3 linked regions of the Arabidopsis thaliana genome follow. The protein of the gene in region 3 interacts with the protein of the main gene of each other region in a pairwise test. Each region holds a gene or a part of one and is shown on either strand. Other genes may lie near its edges.

Region 1 (3,899 bases), about 15 Mb from region 3:
TGATTTCACCTATAAGTCTAGCACACAAAAAAAATCTCCAAAATTCACAAGAAATAAGTTTAAAATATTTTACAAGAATCTGCACAGTTTCATTTCTTATTCTGAGAGATCTTCAGACATAAAAGGATTTTATGTAAGATGTTATATGTTGTTTATCTTTTTCCAGATCAAAAAGAAAATAAGGTTTCTTCTTATTACAACATTAACCTACCAACCCTCAATTCATCTAGATTCTTAAAAGTTTTGAATTTCGTAAGTCTTCTTCTTAAGAATAGATCCAAATCTATAAACTGAATCTAATATCATCCACACTCGTTCATGACTAAAAACACCTTAATCAACATTAACACCTTTTTAAAATTTTACTTTGGCGAGTTGAAGATTACCCAAAATTACAAGCTATTTTATCATTGATATTTCATCTGCCTACTATAATGTTTGATTGGCGTGAAACATGATTCTGTAGAGCGTACGTTACATGCGAAACTCTTACTACGATACATTTTATTACTTTACTATTAATGCTCAAGAAATTATATAAAAATGGGATTAGTACTTAAGAATAAAAAGAAAGTAATAAGCATATTACAATATTAAGAAAACACTTTGTACTCATGCGGCAACAGAGCCTTTATTACAGACACACTCATAACGATGATGCTTAGAGATACCTAACGCCTAAAACGGACCCAAACAAACAAAAATTTGAAATGGAAACAAATCAAACAACAGACCCATTTTTATATATAAATCTCTCTCTTTGGACATGTCTCTAAATCGGACAAATAAAAACGGCCCCATTTCTTTGTGATTTCGAGGGGGTTTTTAGGTCCACATTTAATACATTAAAGCATCAGAAGACGCCATGAGAGGCTGGTTCATAATATAAGACATGTTCATCTGATTCACGAAGAAATCATCACACTCCAAACCAACCAGAGGGTTCGAACACATGCCCATGTTGTTGTTGTTGTTGTTGTTGCTACTGTCGAGGAACTCGATGATGTCGTTGAGAGATTGGAGCCTGTGGTTAAGTTCATCAAGCTGAGCTCTGAGAACAGAGTTCTCTGCTTCAACGGTTAGGTAGTGTTGCGTTGTGATGCTGACACTTGTCACGATCTCCGTGTTCTCTTTTTTCAGATGATTAACCTGAGCCGTTAGATCGTCTAGGAGCTTTTGTTTCTTCATTCTTGATCTCCTTGCAGATTCACGGTTTGAGAGCATCCGTTTACGTTTCCTCTGCTCCATGAGACTCTCCTCCGATCCTGACGACGTTTGAATCGTCGACGAAGTTGTTCCCGACGACGACGATTCCATTTAGTAACACACAAACAAAAACAGGGAAGAGTTTTTTTTAAGAGAAGAGAGATAAAATATTTTAAAATGGGTTTTTAGGGGAATTAAAAACAGAACAGAACAAGACACAACAGAACAGGACAGGACCCAGATGACGAAAAACGAAGAAGAGAAATTTGAAAAGAAACTAGGGTTTTGTTGTAATTATGCGTATAGATATAAAACTGGAGATAAGTTCAGAGATCATGAGACATAGTAAAGCCAGTAAAGGAAGACAACAGAGAAAGATTGAACAAGATGGGTCCTGCGCCTGATTGTGGAATTTAACATAAACCCAGAGAGAAAGATCTCACTGAGTATTATTGGAGACATGTGTCTCAAACACCAAGAACTGCTGATTAAGCATCAATGTTTTTTTCTATTTCTTTTTTTTTGGTAGCTAGCCTACTCTTACAGAAGCTGAGATCTCTAAGAAATGAATCTTTGAAGAAATCAGAAGAAGAAGAAGGAATTAAAGGCGATATCTTCGAGAGAGAGAGAAAAGGGAGAGAAGGAGAGAAGAGGGGGCTTTGAAATGGTTGAGGAGAAAGATTTTATAGAAGAAAAATCATCAAAAAGCGTTTTGAGTGTTTGTGCAACTTGATGGTAAGCGATACATTTGTTTGGATTCTATTAGGGGAAGAAGATTCTTTTCTTTATTTTTACATTTTTTTCCTAACTTTTTTTTGGTAACATTTTTTCCCTAACCTTTAAAAAGTTTTCTAGAGTGTCTACATTAATCAAAGCAATATTTTAAACAATTAATTTTTCTTAATGAAATATTTCAAAATTAATTCAAAGATAAGTAAGAGAAAGTGTTTTTTCTTCTTTTGAATGGTATTGATCAAAAATTATATGTATTTAGTTGGTAAATTATTTACTCATCATTATGTCAAGATAAAAAAAATATTTATATTGTTTAATGAAAAGCCTAATCATATACTGTATTAAATTTAGATACTATGAATCTTGCATTTATCATAATTAAAAATAGAAAAATTCATCAAATAATTTTAAATAGAAAATTTAGATTTAAATTTATGCTTAAAATAACTCTTGAGATTATACATTCATCAAGTCTTGTTTTTTCCATAAATTTTGTTGCAGTTATACCTAAACATCCATTTAGATTTTTTTTTGCATTTAATAACAAGTAATTGAAAATATAGCTTTATTGAAGTTCTTAGAAACCTAATACCAAATAAATTTCCCTTTCAAATTTTATAAACTGTCGTGGTAGATAAAGATATTTCAAAGACAGAAAATTAAAGCTCACACAAAAACAGACCAGCTTAAAAATTGACCTGCCTAAATTTTTTTTTTTTTTCTTTTGGTTTTGTTTAGTACTGTGATTTCTTAGGAGGAAAGAAATTGAAAAAAAAAACAAAGTACAGTTTCTTTTACAAAGATTGCAGATAAAACTATTCTTTGTTTTAGAGGAAAACAAAACTTTTTCTTTGTTTTCTTCTTTTTATTATCACAAAAAGTAAAAAGTTAAGCTCAGAGGAAAAAAGAAGCGAGAACTTTATTAAATCTTCTTCAGTAAAACAGTAAGACCATCTCCATCGGTGAGAAACCCATTTTTATAAAATAATATAAATTTTATTATTATTTTATTATTTATTTTTTTAATTATTATTTGAACCAATCAAAACAAAACAAAAGCAAAAATGAGTTTCTCAAGTGAGAAACGTTTTTACTTTCTCTCCACATTTTTTGAATTTTTTGTTCTGTTTTAATAGACCAGAATCCAGAAACTCGCGATGGAAATGCTCTAAGTCTATATTTGTCGGGAGAAAAAAAACACACAGCAAATCTATTTTCACGTAACGACAAAAGAGAAAGAAAAATTAATGATATATTTGTAATGCGAATTATTATTAAAAAAAAAAGCAAAAAGAAAAACATGAAAGCCAGAATTTGTCTGCAGAAATCTATGAAACTAATTAAAAATCAATTACCACCAACACTAAATAAAATAGTTAATTTGTGAATAATCAAATGAAAAAAAACCTGAAATAAAAATAAAAAGAGATTAAGAAATACAAAAGAATCTGTGCTTAGAGTAAAATGAGAAGAACATGTGTAAGTAGGCCGAAGAAGAAGAAAAGGTGAGAGGGACATGTGAGGTTGGGATACGAACTCTCCAGACTCAATACAGCTGTTTTCATTTCCTAATCTTATTCTCCAATTTGTGAAAGATTTATACGTATTAATCTGGGTTAATTATTCAGATGCTGATAATATGTAAGGATTATAATAATTAGTTAAGTACTTGTAGAGTAGTAATTTAATACTACATTCTTAATGTATTCCACCGTCTTACCACAGATGGTGTTTTAGTTATAAAAATTGTTTTACAAAATTTAAATTACGATTAAATAATTTAACTTTTTTCGTTTTTTATTTATTTTCAGTTTCTCTTTATTAGTTTGGGAAAGTGTGGAAGAGATCCACTGATCCAGCCCACTTCCCAAAAACGATGCATGAATTTCACCAAACATATTCACTCAACATACTTTTTAGTCTATTTATAAATAAATCAAAACAGTTAAAAAGAAATA
Region 2 (3,445 bases), on a different chromosome or scaffold from region 3:
GCATCTTCATCGACAAAAGTGGTAGAGAATATCTCAAAAAATAAATAAATTAGTATTTTAATTAAATTAATATATTTTAATTAGTTTAAAGTAAATAAACCATTAGTTGAATGACAACTCTCAATAAATGCTAAGAATCGTCTCTTTTGCCAGAAACGGTTCGCCACTTTTCTTTCTTTCTCTCTTGTTTTTTTTCTTTTTAATTATTATTTATTTGATGAGTATCTCAATCAGATACTTCGATGGAGATGGTATAAAATTCTTAAAAAAGAAAAAAACTCGAGTGACCCATGATAACAACTCATTTTGATGTAAGTACCAAAATGCATAATTATTTTATCACATCGGGAAAATATAGTCTCTAACACAATAATCACAACACACCATTTCTATATAGTATTTTAAATGGACCACCGCCATCTACAAAAACCGTCCACGAGCTTTCACATTATTTTCATTTATTTCACTAATAGCCAAAATTTCATCTTTCTAATAAGAGCAACAATAACTCCCAAATAAGGAAACAGAAAACTCTAAGAAAATGACAAAATATTATTTCTTCACTTTTAATATATAGAAAGAAAAGATCTTAAAATATTTGTACCAAACTCACATCACCATCTCCATGATATCACACATTTCTTACACTGTCTATCATTACAATCAGTTTTAAACACTAATTAACCATCTTATAAAATAAAGAAACAAAGCATCATCACATAATTTATAAGAAAAATTACAGTTTTACCCCTGCTGCGATGATTAGTCTCACTCACGATGATAATGATGTGAAGTTTTCTAACAGTTGAAAACATCACCAGCAGTAGAAGCAGAAGCCATGATTGGTTGATTATAAAACCCTAGATTCATAGGATTCATCACGCCGTCGAATAATCCACCGTCGAATAATCCCTGACCGGTCTCCATACCGAATCCTGAAGAAGAAGATTCGACGAAATCAACGATCTCGTTAAGAGATTGGAGACGGTGGTTAAGTTCAAGAACCTGAGCTCTGAGAATGTCGTTCTCCGCCTCGATAGTGACGTAGTGCTGCGTCGTGACGGCGATTCCGGCGACGATCTGAGCGTTTTCTTTACGTAGATGAGTCACCTGAGCAGTGAGATCATCCAAATGCTTCTGCTTCCTCATCCTCGACCTCCTCGCAGATTCTCTGTTCGACTGTTTCCTCTTTCTCTTCCGCTCGTCGATTAGATCACGTTGCCGGAGATCAGATTCTGAACCGGAGTTAGCTAAACCAGTGGTTGAAACCGACGAGCAATTTCCACTTGTGGAAGATCCCATTTCAGTTTTATTATTCATATTAAAACACACAGAGAAAATTAAGTACTATGATTAAGACGCAGGACCCAAAGTTTATTATGTAAAAAGATTATAGTATATAGTTTTAATATATTATTATGGTTATAGAATATATAATAATAAAGGGCTAAAGGAGAGCTGATTTATGAGAAAACATAGAACCAGTAGAGAAAGACGACGGAGAAAGATTGAACAAGATGGGTCCTGCGTCTAAGAGACGAGTCTATAGTTAAACCAGATCTAAGGATTTCACTAATCACCGGAGACATGAATGTTTGAACATCAAGATCCACAAGAGTTTTGCCACATCAAATATTTATCAAACGCAAACTGATTACTAGTGTTTTTTTCTAGAGAAAACTGAAAAGAGAGAAAATATAAAAAGGTAGAAGAAAACGAGGAAGACAAAATAAAAACGCTAAAGAAGAGAGAGTGATTGATTCGAGAGCGAAGGGGAAGAGGTGAATTAAGGATTTGTGAGGGGATTTTATAGAGTTAGCAAAAAGGGTTTAGAGCATACTAGATTTAATAAGAAAATAAAGAGAGTATAAAGTGAATATCAGAAAGAAGGTGTTGAGAGATGAAGCATGTGAAGTGGGATTTTCCGAAACAGTCAAGTTACAGCTGTTTTGCAATATTTTATTTATATATTTATGTGTATGGGTTTAATTGTAAATTAATGATTCTGTATAATTAACCAATAACTATTTTTAGACATTTTTAATATGGAAAAGGAAAGAATCTTCGGTATTGGGTATCCTATTTTGTGAAAAGTTTTGATTTTTAAAATCTTCAAATTTTATTCTCTGATGAAAACAACGCGTTTAATTAATTTTGGTCAAATGATGGCTTTCAACAATATTACAGTAACACTGATAATAATAGTTTTGTATTAATGCTAACTTTTACTGCTAAAGAATCTTAAAGATAATAATAATAAGAATAATTGAAACTTTTGTCGTTGGTTCTCGACTTCTTTTTAATACATCAAAATCACCGCCCAAAGTACCAGAATTAACCGTTGAGCAACGGACACCTGGAGCATGAGACAAATCATGAATGAGGGTAGAGGTGGTATTTTCGTTATTTAATTTCTTATACATATATCTTTTTGTCAATAATTCAATCAATTTCGCTGTCCAAAAAAATAATATATATATTTAGGATAATAAATTAATAGTTTAGAAAACTATCAACTAACCAGCCGTTGAATTTATCGCCGTATGAAGCATCAAAATTAGAACTATTATTATCTTTACAATATTTCTATAACGTTTTGGAGTCCACTATAAAATATCAAGTTACATATCGAAAAGAAAAGACAAAAAGAAAAAACAATAAACTTTAAACGAGTAAATTACAGTACGGTAAAAAACTACTATTTGACAACAAAAAGAAGAACATATATACATTATCTAAACATTAAGGGTGTCAAAAACTTTAACTCATTGAACTTCATGTGACCGACGTGTTGTGGTACGTATAGTTACATAACATTGGATTGTAGAATCCAAGACGTAAATTCGTGTCAATTTATAAAATAATTTTATTGTGTGTAACATATTACATGTGGACCATGACTACTTAATCATTTGGTTTTGGTGCTTTAACTGAAATGGTTTGTGAGAAACTCTTTACCAAATTTTTTTGTTCATCCTCGAGCTCGTAATTAATCAAACATTTCGGCAAAACTTTGATATCTATAAATCTCATAAAAAGATTGAAATAAGAATAATACGTACTCATCTACAGCTCTATAACTTACAATAATATTATATACTAAATTTTGTAAAACACACATATATATATAGCTTAATTAATTGAATAGGAAAATTATGTAAGATGGACCGTCATAGTACGGACATCTCACGTGCAATTGCAATGCAAAGAGTGCGTGCTCTGTGCGCATGTGGACCCATGTCAAACATCGCAGTTGAGATGTAAGATCGACACGTGTCATTTTATTATTGAAAATGGATTTTTAAAAAGAAAAAATGTTGGTTCAATCGAATAAGTGAAGTCTAACGTTAATTAGGTATTTCCAATTAATGAATGTGTCCCTGCAAACATTGCAACAGGTAAGAAAAAGTAATTTGTACTAATTTGTCTTCTTCACACAATGCTT
Region 3 (4,673 bases):
AAGCAATCTCGTTCCTCGTCTCGTCGCGAAGAAGATCTCTTGCTCGTAGGCTCTATCTCCATCTGTTAGCAACCGTTGGATCAAAATCAAGGTTTTGAGAGCAACCGACCAGTTCTTGGTCTTGTTGAGCCGTCGCGAGAGAGTTGCCACACAAGCGCTTACGTAATTGCGTGAGTAAGAAGTTAGGCATAAAATCTCTCTAATGTACTTGTCCTCCGCTGGATAGTCATCATGTCGCGTCGCTTTCACGACAGCTATTTCGAGTTCCGTTAAAGAACTGCTTCGACCACCGACTTTGGCTAATCCTACGCTTGTTTGATCTTTCACGGCTCCTATGGCACGTTTTAGCTTACTTGAACCCATTTTGACTTACGTACGCCGTTAAACAGAGGAAGAGAGAGGAGAAAAAAATTGGAAGAACGACGACTTTTTTCTTTCACTTGTTTGTCGTCGTCTCTTTTTCTCCTCTGTTTTTTTTTTTTGTGTTTTCTGACGAGAAAATGTGAATGCTTGATCGATCTACCATGGAAATCGCCGAGGTTGTCGGAATTTAATGATAGGGGAAATTAGTAAAGCCATGTGAGCTATCTTTTTTAAAATTGGATAAAAACAGATATACACTCTGTTATTAGCTATAAATAGAAAGACGATTCTCAAATAAGAATCTTGTAATGTTATAAGACAGAGCTTATATATATATATAAGCCATGAGACTGTATTTTCACAAGATGTTTTCTCATGATTCGTAACTTAATAACACTTACAAATTACAGATGCATAGACATTAATATAGTGCGAAACCCGCTTCTTGTTTGATCAGTCCACGCATTTTTTCGGCCTGTAAAATGAGCAAAAAAAGGGGAGACAGGAATCTGATATGTATAAACAGGGATCATAGTACTTCAAATGGTTTTAAATTGTTCAATGGTCTTAAAAGAAAGAGCCATGTTTTAGCTTACCATGCTGAATCGTTCTGAGGTTCGGTATTCCAGCCATACGGGTTGGCGCTTGGAGTAACATGGTGATTTTGCCCATTTCTAATTCTCTGCAAGGGAGAGCTGGTTTGGGATGGAGGAGCAGCGAAATTGTTTCCGAGTCTTGGAGGTAGAATGGTTGGGATCCCGATGTTTTGGTTTGACATATGGTTTAGGTTTGAGTGTGGTTGATAAGCTGGAATAATGCTAGAAGAATCCATCCTGTTGTTACCAGTTATTGGCATTCTGTTGTTGTTGTTATGTCCACTTGATCTTCCGAGAAGCATCGGATTCATTCCTGTTACTCTCTTCACGGTTTCTTCCGCCATTTTCACCTTAACATAACATGGGAGTTACTAAAACTGTATACAAAAAAAGGGTAGTTCAGAAAAAGGAGAGGAGGATAATACTTAAGTCTTCTTACCTTAGCTCTTAATGTCTCAATGTCAGCCTTTAGTATTCTATTGCCAACAGCAGCCTCGTCATACTTGTGATTCATGTTGCTCAGTTGTTTAAGAAGTGATGAATGCTCACCTTTTAGATCATTAACCTATCAAAATACAAATTAGGTCTCATTAATATCCTTCAACACAAAAATGAGGTGTTGAGAGGATACAACACAAAACCTGTGTTTCGAGGTCACTTGTTTGCTCCTGCTTTCTCCTTCTAGATCGCCTAGCTGACTCACGATTTGACAGCATCCTACAAATATTAAAAGGAAGAACAAGGCTCTATAAATGTAATCTTCAAACGACAAGAAATTGGAGAAAAAGTAATGATTACCTTCTAGATTTTTTAACGTCCTCTGGCTTCAAGGAACCGGTGGTTTCATTCTCTTCATCAAGGTCCTCGTCATCAGAATATTCTCTCGACGATCCACTAGTAACCTGCTTCATTGATACACCAGTTTTTTTCACCTCAGCTGGTAAGGAAGAAGTAACACCAAGTTCTCCTGGGGTCATCAAAGAACCTACCACGATTAAAACTTACTATGTCTAAGACTCAGAAGAGATATCTGAAAGAGAAAGACGAGCGCTGAAATAATGATTTCCCATATATTGAACTAACCACCAGAACTCATCTCAATCCCAAGCTTATTGTTCTTCCAGAAAGCAGTTTAATTTCAATGAGAAAGTCAGTCACAAAAAGATTGAAACTTGACGGATAAAACTAGGCGCTTGATCCAACAAAAGTACCATTTTCTATTTCTAATTCCTTAACCTAGGCATCTAAATTAACAAACACAGAACAGAGAAACGAATCTGCAGGTTTATCATCGCTCATCTATCCTGGTGAAACTAAGAAGAGACTCTTACCTTGAGTAAGAGGACTGGATTGAACTGGTTGAAGTTGAGTTTCTGGAGAACTAGTCGAATCTTCAGGCTTCACAGACCCAACCTAAGAAGAGAACATCAGAGCTTCAGATTTAGATCAAAACGCACAAATTACACATATAGATAAGAAAAATAGAAGATTAACAACACACCCGAAGAGAAACAACAGTAGCGCACTCAGTCTCAAGCTTGTTCTTAAGAACACGACGATAATCATCGGAATCAACAATCACCGTCTTCGTCGTCATGGGAGCAGCACAATCCAAATTTCCCGAATCGCGATCACGAAATCGACTATCATCCTCGAAATCATTCTGTCCGGAAACAGAAGGAAGAGATTGCGCCGAAGAAACACCGACGATCGCGTTGTTGTTGTTACCAAGTGGCTCAGAGCTCACCGCCGACGAAGAAATCTCTTCGAGAAACATCTCGAAAGTCCATTCCGGTTGACTCTGGCTAACTTCATCCGCCGTAACAGGCTTAGAAGAGTCGGGATTGAGAGGAATCGGAGGAGTTTCCCAGAAAGGATCGGAGAAATCGTCAATGGAGAAGATACTGTTCATCGCTCGCTCTCTTTTTCACTTTCTGATTCTTCTTTTTTTGTCGGTACTTTGCCTATTTGCATTTAGGTCCACCCACACAAGTATATTCTCTTTTTTTATTACGTACAATAAAATAAACATTTTTTCTTACACATTTCTGTTTTATTTCTTTACAATATTCTTTGAATAGTTTTTATAATTTAAATATCTATTGTATAACGTCCACTAATGTTTACATGAAAAAACGTAACAGTTTTTGCAAACATTGTTATTTAATTATTCTTCAAAGTTTGATTTATTCAATGAACAACGAAGTTGACATAAAACATTAGATTATATTTTAATTTATAAAAAAATACTATATTATACTGGTCATTAAAAATTTATAAAATGTCACCAGAAGCTAAACAAATAAATCACTAAGCTATATTACAAATTTACAATAGACAAGCCTAAATTATAAAAAAAAAATATATGGAGTTTTTTAAAAATCTAAATTTACCACAAAAAGCTTCTAAAAATAATTAACGAACTAGATCATTTTTTCGCGCCATATGTAAATTTAAACAGTCATTTTCAATTTTCATATATATGGAATTTACTCTCTATTTCTTTTTGACCTTAACATAGTGTCACCAATACCACAAATCACCACTATGTAGGCTATATTACAATAGAGAACGAACCAAAAGAATACAAAAAAACAAACCATATATATATTTTTCAAGCAATCCCCAGTTTTAATTATTGCAAAATTACAAGAATCTACACACATTTTTTTTTTTTTTGTGAAAGGGCTAAGAATCTACACACATAAATATACACACACAAGAAAAAACTTCTAAAAATAGTAATACAAAATTATAATGCCAAAGCTTCTTTCTTTTTTACTAGTTCTGCTTATTCTCCAAAGCTAATTGGTCATTGTTGATCAGAACAGAATTACCACTCTCATCCTCTGATTCATTCACATTTGTCTTCCTCCGCGGTGACCTTCCCTGTTCTATTCCTCCTCCTCCTCCTCCAGAGTTTCTCCGATCATCTTTAGAGACCAAGTCCTCAGCTTCAAGCATATGAATGATATGACCCATTTTTGGCCTCTTTTGAGCATTAGGATCAACACATCTTAAAGCTACCAAAAGGGTACGCTTCAATGACCTTAACGACGGTTTATCAACCATCCTCGGATCCAAAACTCCTTCCGCATCTCGATTCGTCACCAATCTCTTCAACCATTCCACAAGATTCACTTCTCCCGGAGCCCGGCTATAATCCACAGGACTTCTCCCTGAAATAATCTCCATAACAAGAACACCGAAGCTATAAACATCGCTCCTCTCATTCAACATTCCGGTACTCGCGTATTCAGGAGCCACATACCCAAACGTACCCATCACACGAGTAGTCACATAGCTCATCTCCGAACCCAAGAGCTTAGCTAACCCAAAGTCAGAAACTTTCGAGTTCCATTGCTTGTCAAGCAAGATATTACTCGATTTAATATCTCGGTGAACAACTTTAGGCTCAAGACCTTCGTGTAAATACATTAACCCTTTGGCTGTTCCAAGAACAATGTTCATCCTAATCTCCCAAGTAAGAGGACTCTTAAACCCCAAACCACCACCATGAATCCATTGTTCTAAATTCCCATTATCAACATACTCGTAAACTAACATCCTATGAGCTCCTTCAACGCAATAACCAAGCAATCTCACCAGATTCTTGTGTCTTACGCGTCCAATAGCTTCGACTTCGACTTTAAATTCTTTCTCAGCTTGTCCTCTGTTGTTGAGCAGATTCTTTATAGCCACCATTGATTTATC

The links. The genes of interacting proteins can lie anywhere in the genome.
Region 1: the proteins of BZO2H1 (region 3) and GBF6 interact in binary tests that used the Arabidopsis thaliana proteins (3 or more experiments, as listed by UniProt).
Region 2: the proteins of BZO2H1 (region 3) and bZIP44 interact in binary tests that used the Arabidopsis thaliana proteins (3 or more experiments, as listed by UniProt).

The regions. Positions count from the first base shown.
Region 1 is NC_003075.7:16,519,867-16,523,765, reverse strand, and holds GBF6 (G-box binding factor 6), read right to left. Parts: upstream 1,906-3,899; 5' UTR 1,318-1,905; coding exon 838-1,317; 3' UTR 536-837; downstream 1-535. UniProt on the Arabidopsis thaliana protein: Transcription factor that binds to the DNA sequence 5'-ACTCAT-3' in target gene promoters. Promotes POX1/PRODH1 expression in response to hypoosmolarity stress.
Region 2 is NC_003070.9:28,290,099-28,293,543, reverse strand, and holds bZIP44 (basic leucine-zipper 44), read right to left. Parts: upstream 1,847-3,445; 5' UTR 1,321-1,846; coding exon 799-1,320; 3' UTR 536-798; downstream 1-535. UniProt on the Arabidopsis thaliana protein: Transcription factor that binds to the DNA G-box motif 5'-CACGTG-3' of MAN7 promoter. Involved in the positive regulation of seed germination through MAN7 gene activation.
Region 3 is NC_003075.7:1,152,229-1,156,901, reverse strand, and holds BZO2H1 (bZIP transcription factor family protein), read right to left. Parts: upstream 2,949-4,673; 5' UTR 2,872-2,948; coding exon 2,461-2,871; intron 2,373-2,460; coding exon 2,291-2,372; intron 1,945-2,290; coding exon 1,758-1,944; intron 1,677-1,757; coding exon 1,601-1,676; intron 1,525-1,600; coding exon 1,399-1,524; intron 1,310-1,398; coding exon 960-1,309; coding exon of another isoform or gene 956-959; exon of another isoform or gene 839-955; coding exon 817-838; 3' UTR 546-816; downstream 1-545. Other genes in the region: AT4G02650 (ENTH/ANTH/VHS superfamily protein), read right to left, coding at 1-363; AT4G02630 (Protein kinase superfamily protein), read right to left, coding at 3,741-4,673. UniProt on the Arabidopsis thaliana protein: Transcription factor that binds to the C-box-like motif (5'-TGCTGACGTCA-3') and G-box-like motif (5'-CCACGTGGCC-3'), ABRE elements, of gene promoters. Binds to the 5'-ACGT-3' motif of seed storage protein (SSP) encoding gene promoters (e.g.